2 linked regions of the Callithrix jacchus genome follow. The protein of the gene in region 1 interacts with the protein of each later gene in a biochemical or structural test. Links are inferred from orthologs where the notes say so. Each region holds a gene or a part of one and is shown on either strand. Other genes may lie near its edges. The genes, in order: PRKACA and CREB1.

Region 1 (11,557 bases):
AAGGAAGCTGACTTAGAGGCTCTGCATTTTCCTGGTTTCTCAGCAAAAGGAAGATTCCAGGGAGAGCCCGGGGGGGCTGGGGATGGACCTGGGATCAGGCAGCAGCCAGAGCGAGGACTCGGAGACCACCTTCCAGCTGTGGCTGCAGTTGCTCCTCTGGGTCCACCTGGCTGTCCGTTTCCTGAGTTACCTGCACCACACCTTCCGGGAGCCTAAGCCAAAGCCAGCACCCTGAGCCTCCCTGGCCAGGGGGCAGGAGGCCCCCAGGTCACCCCATCCCAACTACCCTTTATTCCACCCTCTGCTGGAAGAGACAGGAAGCAGAGGTGAGTGGGGGGGCTCGTGATGGAGGTTACCCCCCCATCATCCCTCTCTGTCTCCTACTCCTCCTGGCACTGGCCTCCCCCATGCCCCATCCCCAAATCTGACAAGCTAACAGGGCCATAGTGGCACCAGAAGGGACAGAGCCTGGGCACGCCTGTCCTTTGAGAGGCCAGAGAAGGGCGGTGCTAAGAGCAAAGCACCCTGTGGAGCCACTCCATGGAGCACCAGTGGACAGCCAGAGGCTGGGCACTCAGAGTCAGGGAGCACCAGCAGACAGCCAGAGGCTGGGCACTCAGAGTCAGGGAGCACCAGCGGACAGCCAGAGGCCCTGCGCTTAGAGTCAGGGAGGTGGAGGATTCAGCAATTCTTTCCTTTTTGTTAAGAGAAAAGGGAAAACAGACCAGGCCTTTTGGATTCCTTTCAAGCCCGGCACCTCTCTGCCTTCTTGTGTGGGTGAAGGTAGAGTCCCAGGAGGGTACCCTCCACCCTCCCCACTCAGTGCTGAGTTCTATATGGATTATTTGGAGGTTTCCAAGGAAGATGTTTTGTGTCACAAAGGTTCTGTTTGTGAGGCCGGGCGTGGTGGCTCACACCTGTAATAGCAGCACTTTGGGAGGCTAACATCAGACGAATCCATTGAGGCCAAAAGTTGGAGACCAGTCTGGGCAACATAGCGAGACCGCATCTCAAAACAAAACACACAAACGTTCTGCTAGTGAAAGCACTGGATTCGGTGCAGCCACCAGGCTCAGAGAGGCTGCTGGGCTAGTTGGTAGCCCAGCCAGACACCCACCTAGGATTCCTGGCCCTTCACTGCCTGTCCCCTCTTGGCCTAGTCATTCTTTCTGGGGCCTTCTTGACCACAGTCTTTCTCCTCCCCAATCTGCCACTTTTTTTTTCCTTTTTTGGGATGGAGTCTCATTTTGTCACCCAGACTGGGTGCAGTGGCGTGATCTCAACTTACTGCAACCTCCACCTCCCGGGTTCAAGCAATTCTCCCGCTTCAGCCTCCTGAGTAGCTGGGATTACAGGCGTACACCACCATGCCCAGCTAATTTTTGTATTTTTAGTAGAGATGGGGTTTCACCACATTAGTCACGCTGGTCTCGAACTCCTGACCTTGTGATCCATCCGCCCGCTTCAGCCTCACAAAGTGCTGGGTTTAAAGGCGGGGAGCCACTGCGCCTGACCCAGTCTACCACTTTCTTTCTTTTTTTTTTTTTTGAGACGGAGTTTCACTCTTGTTACCCAGGCTGGAGTGCAATGGCACGATCCCGGCTTACCACAACCTCCGCCTCCTGAGTTCAAGCAATTCTCCTGCCTCAGCCTCCTGAGTAGCTGGGATTACGGGCATGTGCTACCATGCCCAGCTAATTTTTTTATTTTGAGTAGAGACGGGGTTTCACCTTGTTGACCAGGATGGTCTCGATCTCTTGACCTTGTGATCCACCCTCCTTGGCCTCCCCAAGTGCTGGGATTACAGGTGTGAGCCACCGCGCCCGGCCGCAGTCTACCACTTTCTAGCCCAGTGAGGGCTCTGCTCTCTAAATGCTGAGGGAGAGCCTTGGGGACAAGTAGTGAGGGTGGTTCCCCCTTCTCAGAAGACCATGTGGGATTCCTGGCAGGTAGACGACCAGCAGTCCCAAAGTGCAGATGCATGGGGCCCCTCAGAGTGGTAGCAAACCCAGGAACATCAGGGGGTTGAAGACAGCTCTGCCCACATTGGCCACCCTGGTGCACTAGACTTGGTGCTGAAACCAGCGGCTGAGTTGGCAGTGAAATAGTTAATCTCATGGGAAGTTGGGGCAGGCAGGTGACCGCAGACCTGATCAGTCTTCTCCTGTGTACAGTGGGAATAACAGCAGCTCCCACCCCATAGGGTCAGAACAAAGCATAGAAAACACAGTGAGGGCTGGTCCCTTGTAGCCCTAGGTGGTGGTTAAAAGGACAAGTCCATAGTGTAAGAATCTCTCAGGCTGCACATTTAAAATTCGAGCACTCAATGTATCCCCTCATTTGTTTTCTTATTATTATTACTACTTTCTTTTTTGTTTGTTTGTTTGTTTTGAGACAGGGCCTCACTCTGTCATCCAGCCTGGAGTGCAGGCTCAGCCACGGCTCACTGCAGCCTCGACCTCCCGGGCTTGAGCAGCCCTGCCACCGCTACCTTCTGAGTAGCTAAAGCTACAGGTGCCCACCACTACACCCAGCTAATTTATTTTTTATTTTTTATTTTTTTGAGATGGAGTTTCCCTCTTCTTGCCCAGGCTGGAGTGCAATATCACAGTCTTAGCTCACTGCAACCTCCACTTCCTGGGTTCAAATGATTCTCCTGCCTCAGCCTCCCAAGTAGCTGGGATTATAGGCATATTCCACCACGCCCGGCTAATTTTTATATTTTTAGTAGAGATGGGGTTTCACTATGTTGGTCAGGCTGGTCTCGAACTCTTACCTCAGGTGATCCACCCACCTCAACCTCCCAAAGTCCTGGGATTACAGGTGTGAGCCACCGCACCTGGCCAATGCTTTTTATTTTTTGTAGAGACAGGGTTTTGATGTTGTCCAGGCTGGTCTTGGGCTCCTGTATTCAAGCAATCCCTCCATCTTGGCCTCCCAGGGTATAATTATTTTTTTGAGACAGTCTCACTGTGCCGCTGAGGCTAAAGTGTAGTGGTATGATCACAGCCCACTGCAACCTCAATCTCCCAGGCTTTAAATGATCTTCCTGCCTCAGCCTCCTGAGTAGCTGGAACTTTTCTGAGACAGAGTCTTACTCTGTCCCCCAGGCTGGAGTGCAGCAGCATGATCTCCACTCACTGCAACCTCCACCTCCCAGGTTCAAGAGATCTTCCTGCCTCAGCCTCCCAAATAGCTGGGATTACAGGCACCCACCACCATGCCCGGCGAATTTTTGTATTTTTAATAGACATGGGATTTCACCATGTTGGCCAGGCTGGTTACAAACTCATGACCTCAAGTGATCCAACCGCCTCGGCCTCCCAAAGTGCTGGAATTACAGACATGAACCACCTTGCCCCGTCTCTCCCCATATTTATTTATTTTTGCTTTTTTATTTTTATTTTTCTAAGACTCAGTCTCACTCCTGTCTGCCAGTCTGGAGTGCAATGGTGCAATCTTGGCTCACTGCAATCTTCACCCCGTGGGTTCAAGCAATTCCCCTGCCTCAGCCTCCCAAGTAGCTAGGATTACAGGCGCCTGCCACCATGCCTGGCTCATTTTTGTATATTTGTTTAGTAGAGATGGGGTTTCACCATGTTGGCCAGGATCATCTTGAACTCCTGACCTCAGGTGATCTGCCCGCCTCGGCCTCCCAAAGTGCTGGGATTACAGGCATGAGCCACCACATCTGCCCTTTTAAAAATTATTTATTTATTTAATTATTTTTTCCAAGACCAAGTCTTGCTGTTACCTAAACTGGAGTGCAGTGGTGCGATCTCGGCTGACTGCAAACTCCGCCTCCTGGGTTCAAGCAGTTCTTCTGCCGTAGCCTCCTGAGTAGCTAGAATTACAGGCATGTGCCACCATACCTGGGTAATTTTTTTTTTTTTTTTTTGAAGACAGGGCCTTGCTCTGTCACCCAGGCTAGAGTGCAATGGTGTGATCTCAGCTCACTGCAACCTCTGCCTCCTGGTCCAAGTGATTCTCCTGCCTCAGCCTCCCTGGTCCTAGTGATTCTCCTGCCTCAGCCTCCCAAGTAGCTGGGATTACAGGTGCGTGCCACCATGCCTGGCTAATTTTTTTGCACTTTTGGTAGAAACGGTGTTTCACTGCATTGACCAAGCTGGTCTTGAACTCCTGACCTAGTGATCCACCTGCCTCAACCTCCCAAAGTTCTGGGATTACAGACATCAGCCACTGTACCTGGCCTGTCTTCCCATATTTTATACTTCAATTAAAAAATAGTAGGCCAGCACGATGGCTCACATCTGTAATCCCAGCACTTTGGGAGGCCAAGGTGGGCAGATCACCTGAGGTCAGGAGTTTGTGACAGCCTGGCCAACATGGTGAAACCCTGTCTTTACTAAAAATACAAAAGTTAGCCAGGCATGGTGGTGGGTGCCTGAAATCCCAGCTACTCAGGAGGCTGAGGCAGGAAAATCGCTTGAACCCAGGAGGCAGAGGTTGCAGTGAGCGGAGATCACACCACTGCACTCCAGCCTGAGCGAGAGAGCAAAACTCTGTCTCTAAAAAATAAATAAATAAATAAATAAAATAATAATAGCTGACATTTATCTGGCACTAACATCATGTGGGCCACTGTCTAACCCCCTTTGCCAAGATGAACTCGTTCATTCCTCAAAACTACCCCATTTTGCAGATGAGGAAAACTGAGGCCTAGAGAGGTAAGATCAGTTGCCCAAAGTCATGAAGTTCATCGGAGACCAGGCTGGGCTCTGAACTGGATCTTGTCTCCAGGTCTTGGCCCACAGCTGCTTTGCTGGGCTGTGTCTCAGCAGAGATGAGAATGACGGTTTTCAAGCCTGTTTCCTGGGTTGCTAAATGGAGGCCGTGGATACAAGACAGGCTGGCAAGGCATTCAGATGAGACAGTGTGGACAGCGGCCGGCCGGGGAACTTTCAACATTAGCTGGGTGGCGATGTTCACCTTGGGGTGCCGTGGGGCCGAGGAGTGGGCATCGGGAGGGACTTCCCTTGAACCAGCTCTGGAGCAAAGCCCTTGGGATTGGCACAGAGAGAACAGGGCCAGCTGGGGGCCAAGGTGACAGCTGAGCCCCCCAAGGGCGCCTGCTACCCGAGCCCCTGAGGCCTCCACCCCAGGCCCGGCCTCCCCAGAGAAGGCGCTGGAGGAACCGCCAAATCCCAAGGCTATAAATACCCCAGCTGGCGCCGGCCCTGGCCGTGGAATGTCGGTCAGAACTGGGGCGAGTGGGGGTGGGCTGGCCTGCCTGGACGCCTCTCTCTGTTCCCCTGGGAGTGACCCCCTGAGACTCTCTGTACCCCACTTTGCATGGAGTGGTGTTTGGATCCCACCTCTCTGGAGCAAGGGAGGCCCAACCAGGGCCCTGAGAGGCACCAGAACCTCAGGTTCCCGGTTGAGGCAGCTGCACCCCACTTTCTACCAAGTATCTCCCCAGAAATCACCTGAACCCACCTCGGCGCGACGGGGTTCTCTAACTCTCCCTTCTCTCCCTTTCAGTGAAAGAATTCTTAGCCAAAGCCAAAGAAGATTTTCTTAAAAAATGGGAAAGTCCCGCTCAGGTAAGGCTGCCAGGTGCAGAGCCCAGGGAGGGAGGGGTGAGCTGGTGACCCCCCAGTCCCCTGGCTGTGTCCCTGTGACACAGCTAGAATTTCAGGAACCCCGTGGAAGGCTCCACACCCTCCCCATTGACTCCCTAGGTGCCCATGGGGGCTCCTGCATGGAGACACCTGACTGCCGAATCCCAGGCACCCCTATCCCACCACCCCTTCCAACGGCCCGCCCCTGCCCCCAGCACAGCTGCCAGCAGCTCCCGGGCCCTAGGCCAGAGCCGGATCTGGCCCCTGCCACCCGCCTTAAGGAATCTCTGCCATCTTGATTTTCCACCCCCTGTCCTCACCCCGCTCAGCCCATGTGCTCCCCGGGGCCCCCTCTGCCGGTGGTGGAGAGGATGCCCCAGACCTTAGCCCGGGAGGCTGCAGGGAGGGTATGCCCTGAGCCTGCTGACCCCTCTGCCGACAGAACACAGCCCACTTGGATCAGTTTGAACGAATCAAGACCCTCGGCACGGGCTCCTTCGGGCGGGTAATGCTGGTGAAACACAAGGAGACCGGGAACCACTATGCCATGAAGATCCTCGACAAACAGAAGGTGAGCCGGCCCGCCCCGCTCAGGTCCTGCCTGCCAGGCCTTGGCCTGGACTATGTCTACTCTTTGGAGTCCCCATTCCACCCATTCACTCACTTGCCTTTTTTGAGACAGTCTCACTCTGTCACTCAGGCTGGAGTGCAGTGGTACAATCTCAGCTCACTGCAACCTCCCCCTTCCGGATTCAAGCAATTGTCCTGCCTCAGCCTCCTGAGTAGCTGGGATTACAGGTGCCCACCATCATGCCTGGCTAATTTTTGTATTTTTAGTAGAGATGGTGTTTCACCATGTTGGCCAGGACGGTCTTGAACTCCTGACCTCAGGTGATCCACTTGCCTCAGCCCCCCAAAGTGTTGGGATTACAGGCATCAGCCACCGCACCTGGCCACTTGCTTTGTTTTCGGGGGAGGGGACAGGGTTTCATTCCGTTGGCCCAAGCAGGAGTGTAGTGATGCACTCAGAGCTCACTGCAGCCTGAACCTCCTGAGCTCAAGCGATCCTCCTGGTAGCTGGGACTACAAGCACACACTACCATGCCTGACAGGGGGTCTTGCTATATTGCCCAGGCTGGTCTTGAACTCCTGGCCTCAACTGATCCTCCTACCTCAGCCTCCCAAAGTGCAGGGATTACAGGCATGAGCCACCATGCCAGGCTCACCCACTATTCCCCTAATCCCCATAACATGCCATCTCCAGGGGTCAGAAGGGCCTTATTCTGCTTTCCCAAGGCTCCCTCTCCAGGCCAGCCATGGATTCGAAGCCAGGCACTGTGACACAGAGTCAGACACCAGCCCAAAGGGAGGAGGCCAAGAGCATTCTTGGGGGAAGTGGTGTTTACGTGGACTTTCTTCCTGCAAATATTTTTGTGACCTAACTTAATACCAGGCACTGCTATAAAGCAGCAATGTAACCAATAGAAATGTAACCCAAGCCACAGAAGTGATTTTACTTTACGGTTTGCTCCATCAAAAACAGTAAAAAGAGGCATGGTGGCGCACGCCTGCAGTCCCAGCTACTTACTAAAGAGGCTGAGGTGGGAGGGTCGTTTGAACTCAGCCTAGACAAAACAGTCAGACCCTATCTTGTAAAAAAAAAAACCTGTAATTAAAAAAGAAAGTGAAAGAAACTAGTGACATTCATGAAGTTCATTTTAATGACATGTTTTGGGTTGTTTTGTTTTGTTTTTTGAGAGAGTCTCACTCTTGTCGCCCAGGCTGGAGTGCAATGGTGTGATCTCATCTCACTGCAACCTCCACCTCCCTGGTTCAAGTGATTCTCCTGCCTCAGCCTCCCAAGTAGCTGGTATTACAGGTGTCCACCACCATGCCTGGCTAATTTTTGTATTTTTAGTAGAGATGCGGTTTTGCCATGTTGGTCAGGCTGGTCTCAAACTCCTGACCTCAGGTGACCCACCCACTTTGGCCTCCCATAGTGCTGGGATTACAGGTGTGAGCCTCTGCACCTGGCCTAATGATATGTCTGGTTGGTTGCCCAGGCTGGAGTGCAATGGTGCCATCTCAGCTCACTGCAACTTCCACCTTCCAGGTTCAAGTGATTTTCCTGCCTCAGCCTCCCAAGTAGCTAGAACTACAGGCATGCACCACCACGCCTGGCTAATGTTTGTATTTTTAATAGAGAAAGGGTTTCACCACCAGGCAAGGTGGCGCATGCCTGTAATCCCAGCAGTTTGGGAGGCTGAGGTCAGTGGATCACCTGAGGTCAGGAGTTCAAGACCAGCCTGGCCAACATGGTGAAACCCCATCTCACTGAAAATACAAAAATGAGCAAAAAACAAAATTATCTGGACATGGTGGCGGGCACCTGTAACCCCAGCCACTTGGGAGGCTGAAGCAGGAGCATTGCTGGAACCCAGGAGGCAGAGGTTGCCATGAGCCTAGATTGTGCCATTGCACTCCAGCCTGAGGGATAGGGTGAGACTCCATCTCAAAAAAAAAAAAAATGAGAAAGGGTTTCACCATGTTGGCCAGGCTAGTCTTGAACTCCTGACCTCAGGTGATCTGCTCACCTCAGCCTCCCAAAGTGCTGGGATTATAGGTGTGCGCCCCCGCACCCGGCATGATGTGTTTGAATTAAGCCAGTATAGCTATAGTGTCACCATTTTCATAGAATATCAATGTGAAATATCATTAATGAGACAGTTTACATTCCTTTAGGTTTTTTTCCAGTCCTCCATGATTTTGGAAACGTTTTCTCTTTCTCTGTACCAAAGTATCTTTAAAACCAGTGTCCACCGTATGCGTACAACAGGTCTCCACTCTGATGGTAAATTCTCCCTGGAAAGATGAGAAAAAATAGAGAAGTTGAAAAAGCAGATTCACGTGCCCAAGATGTTCCAACCATGCCTGAAAGTCACCCAGTCCCTACATCAAGCGTTCCATTTTTATTTTGTTTTTGAGACAGAGTTTCGCTCTTGTCGCCCAGGCTGGAGTGTAATGGTGCGATCCCAGCTCACTGCAACCTCTGCCTCCTGGGGTCAAGCAATTCTCGTGCCTCAGCCTCCCAAGGAGCTGGAATTACAGGTGTTCACCACCATGCCCAGCTAATTTTTGTATTTTTAGTAGAGATAGGGTTTTGCCATGTTGGTCAGGCTGGTCTCAAACTCTTGACCTCAGGTGACCCATCCACTTTGGCCTCCCAAAGTGCTGGGATTACAGGCATAAGCCACTGCAGCTGGTCTAATGATATGTTTATTTGTTTGTTTGGTTTTTTTTTTTTTTTTTTTTGAGACGGAGTTTCGCTCTTGTTGCCCAGGCTGGAGTGCAATGGCATGATCTCGACTCACCGCAACCTCCCCCTTCTCGGTTCAAGTGATTCTCCTGCCTCAGCCTCCTGAGTAGCTGGGGCTACAGGCATGTGCCCCCACGCCCAGCTAATTTTGTATTTTTTTTTTTTTTTTAGCAGAAACAGGGTTTCTCTATGTTGGTCTGGTTGGTCTCGAACTCCCTACCTCAGGTGATCCGCCCGCCTTGGCCTCCCAGAGTGCTGGGATTATAGGCGTGAGCCACCGCACCAGCCTATGTCTGGTCTTTTAAACTGGTATCCTCCCAGTGTGGGCCTCTAGGACTCCTATTTTGATTCCGTGAGAGACTAGGTGCCAGGTACCTGCTCAAGTCATGTGCTGTAGGGGACAGCTGATGGCTGAGGTTCATGTTGCTGTGTGGAATGTTCTAGACAATGGAAAGGCAGTTCCTAAATCCCTCACCTCTTGGTCTTCTCCTGCCTGTCTTTTCAATTTCAGCTCAGCTGCCCCTTCCTCCAGGAAGCCCTCTCTGGTTCCCCCTCCCCCAAACCATGCCAGGTACTTTATGTGGGCTCCTTAGGGGCTGCTGCTTCTCCACAAGCCCAAGATGCCTGCCATCATGGCTCTGACCTCTCTGGGGGTAACCCATGTATTCTTTGCCCTGAACTCTGAGCCATGCAAGAACAAGCAGCCTCTAGCCTCCCTTACACTGTGTCCTCAGCATCAGCCACGGGCCCAACAGGCCACAGGCATGCAAATGATTCTGGCTGAAGGACCCAGCCAGGCCCTGGCACCGCTAGTTCCAGGCATCAGGGGAAATGAGGCCCCTCTCACCTCTCCTTCCTCTCTGCCCTCCCCTCCTACCCTTCCCAGGTGGTAAAGCTGAAACAGATAGAACACACCCTGAATGAAAAGCGCATCCTGCAAGCCGTCAACTTTCCGTTCCTCGTCAGACTGGAGTTCTCCTTCAAGGTGGGGTCCCCGCGCCAAGGGACGGGGTCACTGCATTGGGTCCTAGCCTTCCGGCCCCCAGGGCTAGGGTCAGAGCTGAGGACAATCAGTGGCCACCCACTTTTGTGGAAGAAGATCGCTGGAGGAGGGAGACCAGGGGATGGGAGTCAGGCTGGGACTCTGGTGGACCCCACTTCAGTTCCTGGACTGGCCAGTTTGTAGTTAATTCCCTTGGCAAGTTACCGAACCTCAATAACATCCCTCAAAATCAGCACCTGGTTTACAGCAAGAGCCTGACCCACAGCCAGGAGCACAAACTTCGCCCCAGGCAGCCAGGATTCAGTTCCCAGCTCAGTACTTCCCGATGTGTGGCCCTGAGCAAGGGACTTCTCTCCCTGAGCCTCAGTTCTCATCTGTAAAATGGGGATCATACCAGTTCCAGCCTGGTGGAGTTGCGACAGTTCCAGCCACATCTTGAGTACCCTTTGGGAGCCATTTTGGGAGCCATCCAAGGCTGTGATCATGAGAAACAGGAGAGACCACTCAGGGCCAATTTCATTGCTGCCTGACCCAGAGAATCACAAGGGCCTGCGCTTCAAGGGACCCCACACCTGGTTTAATGCTTTGCCGCTGCTGCTCCTGCTACCTTGAGACCCTTAATAATTTTTTTCTCTTTTTTTTTTTTTTTTTTTTTTTTTGAGACAGAGTCTCACTCTGTTGCTCAGGCAGGAGTGCAGTGGCGTGATCTCAGTTCACTACAACCTCCACCTCCCGGGTTCAAGCAATTCTCCTGACTCAGCCTTCTGAGTAGCTGGGATTACAGGTGCATGCCACTATGTCCAGCTAATTTTTGTATTTTTAATAGAGATAAGATTTTGCCATTTTGCTCAGGCTGGTCTCAAACTCCCGACCTCAAGTGATCTGCCCGCCCTGGCCTCAGCCACTATGCCCAGCCTAATTTTTTTTTTAAGGCAGAGTCTCACTCTGTCACCCAGGCTGGAGTGCAGTGGTGTAATCACAGCTCACTGCAACCTTCACTTCCCGGACTGCAGCGATCCTCCCACCTCAGCCTCCTGAGTAGCTGGAACTGCAGGTGCACACCATGATGCCCAGCTAATTTTCGTATAGACAGGGCTCTTACTGTGTTACCCAGGCTGGTCTCAAACTCCCAGGCTCTAGCGATCCACCCACCCCGGCCTCCCAAAGTACTGGGATTATACGGGCATGAACCACCACACCTGGCCCTCTGTAATAATCTTTCTAACAAGGGTCACCTTTTTAATTTTGGGCCCCACTAATTCTGCAGCCCATCATGGTCCTGCTTTACAGATGACAAAACTGTGGCCTCAAAGCCTTACTCAAGCTCCCAGAGCAAGCTACTTCGGAGTTCTCTCTCTCCAGCCAGGGCAGGCTAGCCAGGTCCCGACATACCACTGAGTCAGCCCTCGCCTTCACCTTTATGACAGTAGGATGAGGGTCAACCGTGCTTCCTGGGCAGAATGAAATGCAACATGTGGGTTCAGCCAGCAAAGCACCTGGTCCCTAGAACATGATTCCTATGGGGAGCCAGGATCCCTGTTGTCATTTAATGTTTGAACACCAGCCAGGGAGGCCCCAAGGCCTTCAGATATGGTGGGAGGTTCAGGGAGTGGGCTCCTGATCAGCCGCTGCCTCCCACAGGACAACTCAAACTTA
Region 2 (12,086 bases), on another chromosome or scaffold:
CATAGTAGTTATGATCAGGAGAGTGCATGATGGCACAAAAGAGTGAGCAAACAGAGAAATGCAGAAAGTAGAGAGGCTGAAAATGTTAGAATATTTGTGAGGAAAGACAATCCGTTTTGTTCATAATTTCCCCAGTCTGTAGAAGAATGCATGGCACAAAGTAGGTGCTCCACAGATATTTTCTGGAATAAATGAAATAGTCACCATGGTCTTGGGGTTAGGTAGGAAAGCAAATCACAGGAGGTGATGAACTAGGGTAGGCAGGGTTCATGGAACTTGAGTTCATAGTGAGAGTAAAAATTATATTCAACAGCAGAAACAAGAGCAAAAAATAACAGGAAAAGGAAGTTGTGATTATAGAAAAGCTCTCAAATACCACTTTATCTTTGAAGCATTTTATAATCATCTTATGGGACCTTTTCCCTATTCTGGACCTCTTTCAAGATACTTTTCTTACACTCTACCTAGTTACATCCATGTGTGCTCCTCTACTTTCAGCTCCCTGATATTGACCACATTTTCCTATTGGAAAACTGAGTCAAAAATGGGGGTCACCTGTAGTCTCAGCTACTCAGGAGGCTGAGGGCAAGAGAGTTGCTTGAGCCCAGGAGTGCAAGGCTGTCACGCACAATGTCTGCCACTGTGCACAGCCACTGCACTTCAGCCTGAGCAACACAGTGAGAGCCGAATCCCACAAAAAATTTCTTTTACAATGGAGGTGGCTTCCAAATCCCAGAGACAAAACTTGGATGCTGAAAGTAGAAATGTCAGAAAGTAGAGAGGCTGAAAATGCTAGAGTAGACCCAAGAGAGATATGTCAAAGTAGAGAGGTTGAAAATCTGGAGTATACCCAAAATATTAGTAGTAAAATAACTTGCATTGGAATGAATAAAGTTAGGTAGAAAGAGAGGCCATCAGAACAGAAGTCAAGAAGAATTCATGTTTTAATAACTGAGGCCCACTGGTCTGACAGTAAGGCCCAAGTGAATATTGGAAGCTGGCCTTCCACTTAGGAAGTTAGCAAAATAATAGGATCTGAATGAAGGTTAGCATGTATAAAAAGGAAGAATGAATACGAGGACATTTTAAAATAAACACTCACTGGCTGGGTGTGTTGGCTCACGCTTGTAATCCCAGCTCTTTGGGAGGCCGAGGCAGGTGGATCACAAGGTCAGGAGTTCAAGATCAGCCTGGCCAATATGGTGAAACCCCGTCTCTACTAAAAATACAAAAAAGTTGGGTGTGGTGGCGTGCACCTGTAATCCCAGTTACTTGGGAGGCCGAGGCAGGAGAATTGCTTGTACCTGGGAGCAGAGGTTGCAGTGAGCTGAGATCATGCCACTGCACTCCAGCCTGGGCGACAGAGCAAAACTCCATCTCTAAATAAATAAAAAAGTACAATTAAATAAAAACTCACCATATTTGTGGGTGATAATTATAGGTTAAGAGAAAATAATTCCAAAGTTTTGGTATCATGTATACTGTCATGGTAAAAGAGCAGAAAGATGAACTCAATTTTGAAAACGTATTTGACACAAGGCTAGATATCCAAGTAAAAGTTAGTAATAGGTAACATTTTGCTTAACATTGTTCCAAGTACAAACATTCTTCCAAGTATACTTCATATGTATTATGTTATGTAATCATTACAATAACACTACGAGGTAGGCGCTATTATCACCTTTATTTTACAAATGGGAAAACTGAGGCACAAGAGTGAACGATTTGCCCAAAGACATTAGCTAGTAAGTGGCTGAGCCAGTGCAATGAATTCACCACTGCCCCCGCCTCCTGCAAATTCATATTTTGAAATCTTCACCCTAAATGTGATGGTATTAGGAGGTGAGGCCTTTGGGAGGTAAACCCCTTGTGAATGGGATTAGTGCCTTATAAACGGAAACCCTGAGTGCTCTTGCTGTCTTTCTGCATTGTAAGACAAAGATAAAAGACAGCCATCTACAACCCTGAAGAGGGCCTTCACCAGAACCTGACCATGTTGGTAGTCTGATTTCAGACATCCAGCCTCCAGAGCTATGAGAAATAAATGTCTATTGTTTATAAGCCATCAAGTCTATATAGCACTTTATTACAGCAACCTGAACTCACTGAGAGCCAGGATTTGGACTCAAATGTTAAGAACTTTGCCCAGGACAACTCAGAAATTCACTATGTATTCGATAAATATTTAACAAGTAACACTCTATTCCAGACATTGTGCTGTTGCTAGGGATGGGAAAGGAGAGGAAAGGCTGGTAGTGAACAAGACAGATGTGGTCCCTACCTGCACAATTACATGGGCACTAAACAAATAATGAGAAGTATGATGAATTGGAAAGGAAAGTGATAAATTACAGTTAGGTAGGACAAATGGGTGAGAGAAAAGAATTCTATGGGAAGGAAGGGCATGTGTAATTGCCCTGAAGTGAGAGCCTATGGTAGGGAATAAAAAAAGGAGAGCCTGGAAAAAATCAAAATACTATGGCAGGAGTGCAGGCAACTAGGGGGACAGATGGAGAGAAAGACAAGTCTAGATAATGGAGCTTAGACAATGTGTGGTAAGCAAGGGGAGGCCACCAAGGCATTTAAGCAGGTCAATGATTTGATCAGATTTATATTGAAAATATTACTCTGGCAGCAGTATGGCAAATGTATTGGAATGAGGCAAGAGCAGTTTTGGAGGACCTGAATGGGTTATCATAGGACTTCAAGCAAGAGGTGACAGTGGTTTAGACCAGAATGGGAATGAAAAAACAGTCGTGGAAATAGAGGTCACAAATCCAACTTTCCAGGGAGCAGACAGATGTAGGTGATTCTGTTGTGTGTTCGAGGTGTGCTAGGTGTCTGGCATGAACTGAGGAGATGTTAAGATACCCTTAACTGAACCAGGGATTATGGGAGGAGCGTTTTGAAGAGATTATGATATACCGGTTGAGTCTGAAATGCCTTAAGTCATCCAAATGAAAAGTATACCGAAGGCAATCTGTTGGAAATACAAATGGAGGGTTCCAGAGCAAGATCCAAGCTTGAGTTATGGATTGAAGAGTCTTTGACAGAGGGTAGTTGATGCTACTGGAAGAGCATAAGACCACCTAGGAAAGTGTACATGGGAGACTTAGAAAGAGGGCCAGGGTTTAGCTCAGCATGATTCCAATGTATAAGAGGATAGATACAGGAGGAACTGGTTGTTAAAGAGCAAACACAGGTAGGGAGGAAATCTGTGACACAGACCAGAGGGAAAAGTATATTTGGAGAAGAGTGTGGTCAATTGTGTCAAATACTGGGATGAGGGCTTGTAAAATGAGAACTGAAAACGATCCGCTTCATTTACAGACATGAAGCTTGTCTCTTGACAATTCAGAGCCATTCAGGTGAGTGGTGGGGACACTGAAGTGAGCTGGGGAGTGGGATGTGAGAGACTGTCCATGGGGTAAGAGACACCTGGAGTTATTGGAGAGCGATTTAGGGAGAAATCTTTTTAAAGAATTGAGAGACTTAAGCATGTGTAAATGAAAGAGCCGGTAGAGAAGGAAAGATTGAGAGCAACAGAAGGAAAGGAGGCTCGTTAAGGGCAAAGTCCAGAAGAAAACAGTAGGGGACCTAGAGTACCAAGAATAACTCTTTCATTACAAAAGAAGTGAGTCAGGGGCGGAGTCCGGATTTGAACCCTCTCTGCTTCCTAAAGACACATCTCTTTTAGAAAAAGAATGATTAAGACTGGAGGCAGGGAGGGGTGGCTCACGCCTGTAATCCCAGCACTTTGGGAGGCTGAGTCGGGCGGATCACCAGAGGTCAGAAGTTCCAGACCAGCCTGGCCAACATGGTGAAACCCTGTCTCCAGTAAAAATACAAAAATTAGCTGGGCGTGGTGGCGGGTGCCTGTAATCCCAGCTAATTGGGAGACTGAGGCAGGAGAATCGCTTGAACCCGGGAGGCGGAGGTTGTAGTGAGCCGAGATAATAACACTACACTCCAGCCTGGGTAACAAGATTGAGACTCTGTCTCAAAAAAAAAAAAAAAAAAAAAAAGGACTTCAAAGCCCAGAGACAGAGAGAGGGCTGCAGAGTTTACTACCAAGGAGAATGGGGACCTAGTGGTGTGGCCTGGGCAACCTCTAAGAGAGCAGTTCAGTAGTTTCCAGCCACGGAAGTTCCCCTGCTGGGTTCACAGTGCTGAGGGTGCGAATCCCTTGCTGTAGAAAACAGGCTGAGGAAAGAACGCGACACAGGATGTTGTCTGGAGAAAGGCGGGGAGGTGGAATAGGGCATATTTCCAGTGGTCCAGGCAGGCCCGGGCAGAACCCGAGAGGTGCCACGGTATCCGAGCCAACGTCCCCCGGGAAACCATGCCCCGCCGGAGGCCTCCGGGTTTCTCCGCTGAGTCTCCGAAAGGAAAACTCGTCCCCACTGGGTCCCACGACGTCCCCGAACCCCAAGCCCCAGGCCCTGGGACGCTGGCAGAGGCGCAGCAGCCCTTCCTCCCCAGCCTGCACGGCTCCCGCGGTCCGTCCGCGTTCCAGCCGGAGCGGCGCTGCGCCCGCTTGCCGGCGGCGTCGGAAAGTTCCCGGGGCTGGAGGCGCTGAAGGGCAGAGCCCGCGGCTCACCGCCGCAGAGGCAGGCCTGCGCGGGGGTTTCCACTAAGTCGCTGACACCCCTCGGGAATTCCCCACTGGGCCACACACAAACCCCGTTTCCTCCTTCAAATTTCCGCCGCCGGCTTTATCGATTCGAACGCAGCGTAGCGGTTTAGACCACCCCTCCCAGCGCGGGGCTCAACCCGTCTTCGCCTTCCTCTACCGGCGCAACCTCTTCGCCTCGCCCGAAGAAGCCCGAAGGCCTTCGGCAAGTTCCGTCCCCAGCGCGGGGGTGGGGCCGCTCGAGCTCCTCCGGGCCGAGCTCGGCTGTTTCCGTGCGCGGCCGCTGCGCACTCGGCACTGGGCGGCGCTGGCTGGCTCCCTGGCTGCGGCTCCTCAGTCGGCGGCGGCTGCTGCTGCCTGTGGCCCGGGCGGCTGGGAGAAGCGGAGTGTTGGTGAGTGACGCGGCGGAGGTGTAGTTTGACGCGGTGTGTTACGTGGGGGAGAGAATAAAACTCCAGCGAGATCCGGGCCGTGAACGAAAGCAGTGACGGAGGAGCTTGTACCACCGGTAAGAGGAGCAGGAGGAGGAGGCAGGAGCCAGAGAGAGCCGGGGGGACGGAGGGGGGACGGGGAGGCGCCGGACACCCGCGCTTGGGGCCTTCCCCTCGCAGGAGGGGCCGCGGTAAAGATGGAGCCTCCGCCCGAGCCCCACAACATCGCCGCCGCTCGCAGCGAACAAAGAATAATGGCGGCGGACTGGAGCCAGCGGCGGCCGGGGCGGCAGCGACTCTGCCTGCAGCCAGCGGCGGCGCTCATGGCGGGGGGCGGCGGGCGGCGGGCGGCGGGCGGGGTGGGAGCCGGCGGCCGGGGGTGTGTGCGGGCGGCCGGCCGCGGCGAGCTGGCGCCCGCGTTCCCGCCGCCGCCGCCGGGCCGGGCGCGAAGCCGGGAGCCGGGATCCGGGAGCCGCCCCGGGGGAGGCCGCCTGCTCGGCCCTGAGTTGCCCCCAGCGCAGCTCGCTCATCCGGCCCCCGCCGCCCGCCTCGCCCCCGACCCGACCCGGCCCGGCCTCCGGGGCAGCCGCCGCCTGGGTGCCAGTGGGGGTGGAGGAGGAAGAAGGCGACAGTTGAGGGCAGAGGAGGTGAAGGTGCCTGCTGCCTTCCCGGTGGCCTCGCTGTCTGCCATGCCCGCTTCGCAAGGGGAAGAGCTGCAACGTCTGACCTACTCTTCTCTCCACTCTTTGTGCAATAAAGTTCGAAACCCAAGGTTTCCTCTCGTGCTGTATTTTATTCATGCCCTTTCCCTCCCGCTCCCACACCGTTGAGGAAATGCTGCTTTCTGCCCTGTGTTGCTTAGTTGAGAGATGAGGGCTTGTGCCTGGGGGGAATTTTTGACTCCCTCACCCCCTTGCCTTTTTTTTTTTTTTTTTAATTAATCCTGTAGTCATAGAAATGCATGCTTTTTGGGAGAAAGGGTGCTAAAAAAAAACATTTGTAGTAACTTTAAAGAACTGTTGGAATCTTATAAAAGGGAAGCTGGTGTTTGAAAACAGTTTCGGTTTTAACCCTTTTCAATAAGGTAATTATCACTTTGAAACACTTCGTTGAAACGAGTATCAGCGGACGTACTCTTGTTTTACATCATTTCGCGGGGTGCAGCCTTGTCAACCGCGTTTTGGGTCATCTGACTCTCCCTACACCCTCAGTCCCACCCCCCTACCATATTTCCCACAAATTTCTGTGTGAACTTTAATGAGAGACGGAATACTAATTCTAAAAATAGACTTTTAAGTATCCATTATTTGTCTCTCATGCAGTAGGTAACCCCGGTCTTGAGACTGAGAATTTAAGCCACAAGCTGTATTTTTTCTTTGCCTGTTGGGAAAAAAGGACAGCAGAAAAGTCATTTAAAAATTAAAAGACAATTTTTAAAGGACATGTCGTATGACCTATTTAAGTTTGTAATGCCATCCCAAGTTATAATTCTAACCTCGGCTTACGACTGCCTTCTAAAGGTTTAGTGGAAGATACTTTTGATTGCTGCCTCTTGAAATCTTTTATATTTATGGCTCATTTCCTGATTTAAAAGTCAAGCCCCAAGCAGTTATTTTAGGTGGTGCAAAAGATGAACAAGTTTGTTTTAAAAGTATTTGTCTGTCACTGTATGGTTGCATTGTGATTGATACACACAAGGCTTCTGGTTAGGAACAAATATTAATTAGCAGTAGAAACAGTGTCTTATTTTTCTCTATGTAAGTCACTTTTCCAAAACCTGCTTTGCTGTATTGCTTCTCTTTAAAAAAGACCACATTATCAATTTGTCATTGCCAAGAAAATAAGATACAGTAAAGAGAGGTTCTCTATAAATATTGGGAAAATGATTTTACTTCCAATCGCTGAGAAAATTATTACAGTATTGATAATGGTAGGTTACTGTTTTTCCTTAATGATGTTCTGCAAGCCACCATCAGTTGAGTAGAATTTTTTTTCTTGTTAAGCTTATACGCGGTGGCTCATGCCTGTCTGTAATCCCAGCACTTTGGGAGGCCAAGGCGGGCGGATCACCTAAGGTCAGGAGTTCGAGACCAACCTGACCATGGAGAAACCCCGTCTCTACCAAAAATACAAAATTAGCCGGGCGTGGTGGCGCATGCCTGTAATCCTAGCTACTCGTGAGACTGGGGCAGGACAATCGCTTGAACCCGGGAGGCAGAGGTGAGGGTGAGCCAAAATCACACCATTGCACTCCAGCCTGGGCAACAAGAGCGAAACTCCGTCTCAAAAATAGTAATATACGCCGGGCGCAGCGACTTATGCCTGTAATCCCAGCATTTTGGGGGGCCTGGGTGGGCGGATGACTTGAGGTCAGGCGTTGGAGACCAGCCTGACCAACATGGTGAATCTAGTCTCTACTAAAAAAAAAAAAAATTAGCCGGGTGTGGTGGCTCGCGCCTATAATTCCAGCTACTCGGGAAGCTGAGGCAGGAGAATTGCTTGAACCCAGGAGGCAGAGGTTGTAGTGAGCCAAGATCGTTCCACTGCACTTCAGCCTGGGTGACCGAGTGAGACTCCATCTCAAAAAAAGAAAAAAAAACCACAAAAAATTGTTTACTGATATGTTCTTTCTTTAGTCTTGCCCAAGAGATATTTTCATTTATTTATTTATTTATTTATTTATTTATTTGAGATGGAGTTTTACTCTTGTTGCCCAGGATGGAGTGCAGTGGCGCTGTCACGACTCACTGCAAGCTCTGCCTCCCGGGTTTAAGCGGGCCTCTGCCTCCGGAGTAGCTGGGATTATAGACTCCCATCTCAAAATTAAAATATATATATATATGTGTGTGTGTGTGTATATATACACATATATATATGTGTGTGTGTATATATACGTATATATACACGTATATATACGTATATATGTATATGACTCTTCCTTTGTGAGATTTTTAAAAAATTGTTTACTGATGGCTGGGCACGGCGGCTCGTCGTAATCCCAGTACTTTGGGAAGCCGAGGCAGGCGGATCACGAGGTCAATAGATGGAGACCATCCTGGCCAACATGGTGAAACCCCGTCTCTACTAAAAATACAAAATTTAGCGGGTCTCGTCGCACATGCCTATAATCCTAGCTATTCTGGAGGCTGAGGCAGGAGAATCTCTTGAACCCCGGGAGGCAGAGGGTTGCAGTGAGCCGGGATTGCGCCACTGCACTCCAGCCTCGGCAACAAGAGCGAGACTCCGTCTTAAAACACAACAAAAAATTGTTTACTCATGTGTTCTTTCTCTAATCTTGCCCAAAAGTTAGTTTATTTGAGACGGAGTTTCGCTCTTGTTGCCCAGGATGCAGTGCAGTGGCGCTGTCGCAACTCACTGTAAACTCTGCCTCCCGGGTTTAAGCGAATCTCAGGCTTCAACCTACCGAGTAACTGGGATTACACAGCCTCCGTCTCAAAATTATATATATACATATATGTGTATATACATATACACACACACACATACATATACCTCTTCATTTGTGAGGTTTTCTTTTGTTTACTGATGGCCAGGCGCTGCGGCTCATCCCTGTAATCCCAGTACTCTGGAAACCCAAGGCGGACCGATCACAAGGTTAATAGATGGAGACCATCCTGGCCAACATGGTAAAACCCCATCTCTACTAAAAATACAAAAATTAGTGGGTCTGGTGGTGCATACCTATAATCCCAGCTACTCGGGAGGTGGAGGTTGCAGTGAGCCGAGATCGTCCCACTGCACTCCAGTCTGGTGACAGAGCGAGACTCCGTCTCAAAAAAAAACAAAAAACAAAAATCGTTTGCTGATACGTTCTTTTTTAGTCATGCCCAAGAGATATTTTAAAATATTTGAGATAGAGTTTGGCTCTTGTTGCCCAGGATGGAGTGCAGTGGAGTGGTGGCAACTCACTGCAAGCTCCGCTTACAAGGTTTAGAGGAATCTCCGGTCTCAGCCTCCCAAGTAGCTGGAATTACAGACTCCGTCTCAAAATTTACATACATACATACATACATATATGTATGTATGTATGTATATATGACTTTTCGTTTGTTAGATTTTTTAAAAATTGTTTACTGATGGCCGGACATGGTGGCTCCCGCCTGCGATTCCAGTACTTTGGGAAACCGAGGTGGGACGGTCTTGAGTTCAATCGATTGAGACCATCCTGACCAACATGGTGAAACCCCATCTCTATTAAAAATACAAAAATTATCAGATCTGGTGGCCCGTGCCTATAATTCCAGCTACTCAGGAGGCCAAGGCAGGAGAATTGCTTGAACCCGGGAGGCAGTGGTTGCGTTGAGCCAAGATCGCGTCACTGTACTCCAGCCTGGCAACAGAGTAAGACTCCGTCTCAAAAAAATTTTAAAAAATTTGCTGATAGGTTCTTTCATTAGTCTTCCCCAAGAGTTATTTATTTATTTATTTATGAAGGATGGAGTGTCCTTGTTGCCCAGGATGGAGTGCAGTGGCGCAGTCGTGGCTCACTGCAAGCTCCGCCTCCCAGGTTCAAATGAATCTCGGCCTCAGCCTCCGGAATCGCTGGAATTACAGGCACAGGCCACCATGCCAGGCTAATTTTTGTATTTTAGTGGAGACGGGATTTCACCGTATTGGCCGGGTTGGTCTTGAAGTCCTGATCTCAGGTGATCTGCCCACCTACACCTTCCAAAGTGCTTGGATTACAGGTGTGAGCCGCCATGCCTGATCTACTTTATTATTTATACATTTATAATTTGTGATTCTTAGGAATTCCAGGTGAGACTTCAAACTTTTATATTCATTAATATTTGAACATTCATCTGGAACATGTTACTAAGTTGTACTTCCGTACTGTCCCAGCCATCAGTAAAAATTACAGCTGGATCTGCTTGAATTTTTTTTTTTTTTCATGAACACCTGTATTTAGAAAGCTAATAAATTATTTGACAGAACTGGCCTGAAGAATGTTAAAAGAACACCTCTTTGGGAATTTAAAACTTGTTACCTGTTTTGAATGAATTTTTTATTCCATTAGGAGCCTGAAAAAACTTAGAAAATTGATTTATAAAAATGGCACCTTTCTTTTTATACTTTCTGAAACTCATATTCTTGATTAGGTCTCATTAGAATTTTTGGTTTCTTCATAGAAAAGTAGCTTTATTTGTCTCTCATTCTTAAGACATTTGGTTTTGTTTGGGTACAGTATGGTTATGGTAAAACCGAGTATGTGTTCTCCTTCACCTATTTTTAAATTTTTCCTCCTCATTATAACAGTAGAGAAAATTATTTTTAACCTAATGCTTATGGTATATTACTGACATTTATAATTTTATTTATTCCATAAATAGCTTATCAAATATGAGTTGCATAAACTTTTTTACAGCCAGTTTGTGACATAGTTTTGCAAATACCTTGATAAATGGTGTAACTTTCATGGCTTCTTTATTGAATAGAGCTCAAATCTAAATTTAGGAACATAGCAAGATGTAAGGATGGAAAATGCAGGATTTTTTTTTTCTTACCCACCTGTGAACTCATCTTTACTACAGTATCACTTGAGACAACAGTTTATGGTAATTAAAATATTTATTTAGCACTCACTGTGACAGAGAATGTAGTTGAAATAGCATGAGGTTTGGAATCACAGGCCTGGGTCTGAATCCAAGCATTGCCACTACTATCATGTGCCTACCCTAAAGGAATTTTGTGTCCCAAAGGAAGTTTCTTAATCTTTCTCAACCTCAGTTTCCTCATATGTAATAATATGTTATAATAATACTTACTTCATAAGATTGTGAGAGATACAGAAAGTACCTTAGGGCTATAACTAATGATAGCTAGTCCCTTAAGCTTTATTTTAACTTCCTGCCTGTGGGCTCTTGGGCAAGTTATTTTAACTTCTCAATACCTCACTTGCTTTGCTGATCAATGTAGAATAACTACTTTAGAATTGTGGGGTTAACTATAAAGTAATAACATATTAAATTCCAGACATTGTACAAGTGCTCAAGGGTTGGCCAGGTTTTTTTGTTTTAATTTTTTTCCTGAAGTGGAATCTTGCTCTGTTGCCCAGGCTGGTGTGCAGTGACATGATCGCAGCTCACTGCAACCTCTGCTTTCTGGGTTCAAGTGATTCTCCTGCCTCAACCTCCCTAAGTAGCTGGAACTACAGGCACACACCACCACGCCTGGCTAATTTTTGTATTTTTAGTAGAGATAGGGTTTCACCATGTTGGTCAGGCTGGTCCTGAATGCCTGGGATTATAGGTGTCAGCCACCACACCTAGCTGGTCTGTTATTTAAAAAAAATTTTTTTTTTTTTATAAAGGTGGGGTTTCACCATGATGGCCAGGCTGGTCATGAACTCCTGACCTCAGGTGATCCACCCACCTCGGCCTCGCAAAGTGTTAGGATTACGGGCGTGAGCCACTGAGCCCGGCCATTTTAAAAATTATTTATTACTACTTTATGTAATACAGTGGGTCAGAAGCTACAACAAATCCAGAGATGAATTACACTGTCTTATCTCTACCCTCAAGGAACTGTTGGGGACATAGTGACTAAGGCAAAGTATTTGTCATAAGAAAGCAGTCAAAGGAAAAAGTGATTACCTTTGGTGAAGTAAAGAGTATATTTTTTATATTTCCAGTTTGGTTTTTTGAGTAAGTCATTCAGGTGGTATGTAATTCAAAACATAAAATATAATGCAGCAAAATGCCCTACATTCTCTTGCCCGATTACCTAAGTGTTAGCAATTTTTTATTTGTCCTTTCAGAGGTATTTAATTAATGCAACCACAATCAATTATTCATGTACTGTCTCCCCCTTTTTGTACAAATGGTAGCATACTACATGTACACTCTTCTCCTATATCATGCTTTTACCTCACCACTTAATATGGCTTGGCAATTCTGTATCAACACATAAAGAGCCTCTTCATTTTTTAACATACAATTTGAGGCATTTTATTATATAAGGAGACTTTATTAAGTAGTTTGTGAGCTGATTCTATTTTTAGG

The links.
Region 2: the proteins of PRKACA (region 1) and CREB1 form a complex in vitro, tested with the Homo sapiens proteins (2 studies listed by BioGRID, with this or other methods). The link is inferred for Callithrix jacchus from reciprocal best matches to the Homo sapiens genes PRKACA and CREB1.

What each region holds. Positions count from the first base shown.
Region 1 is NC_133523.1:12,880,184-12,891,740, reverse strand, and holds part of PRKACA (cAMP-dependent protein kinase catalytic subunit alpha), read left to right. Parts: intron 1-23; exon of another isoform or gene 24-82; coding exon of another isoform or gene 83-235; exon of another isoform or gene 236-384; intron 385-5,502; coding exon 5,503-5,564; intron 5,565-6,024; coding exon 6,025-6,153; intron 6,154-9,784; coding exon 9,785-9,883; intron 9,884-11,542; coding exon 11,543-11,557. Other genes in the region: SMIM46 (small integral membrane protein 46), read left to right, coding at 83-235.
Region 2 is NC_133507.1:128,981,966-128,994,051, forward strand, and holds the start of CREB1 (cyclic AMP-responsive element-binding protein 1), read left to right. Parts: upstream 1-4,929; 5' UTR 4,930-5,025; exon of another isoform or gene 5,026-5,141; intron 5,142-12,086.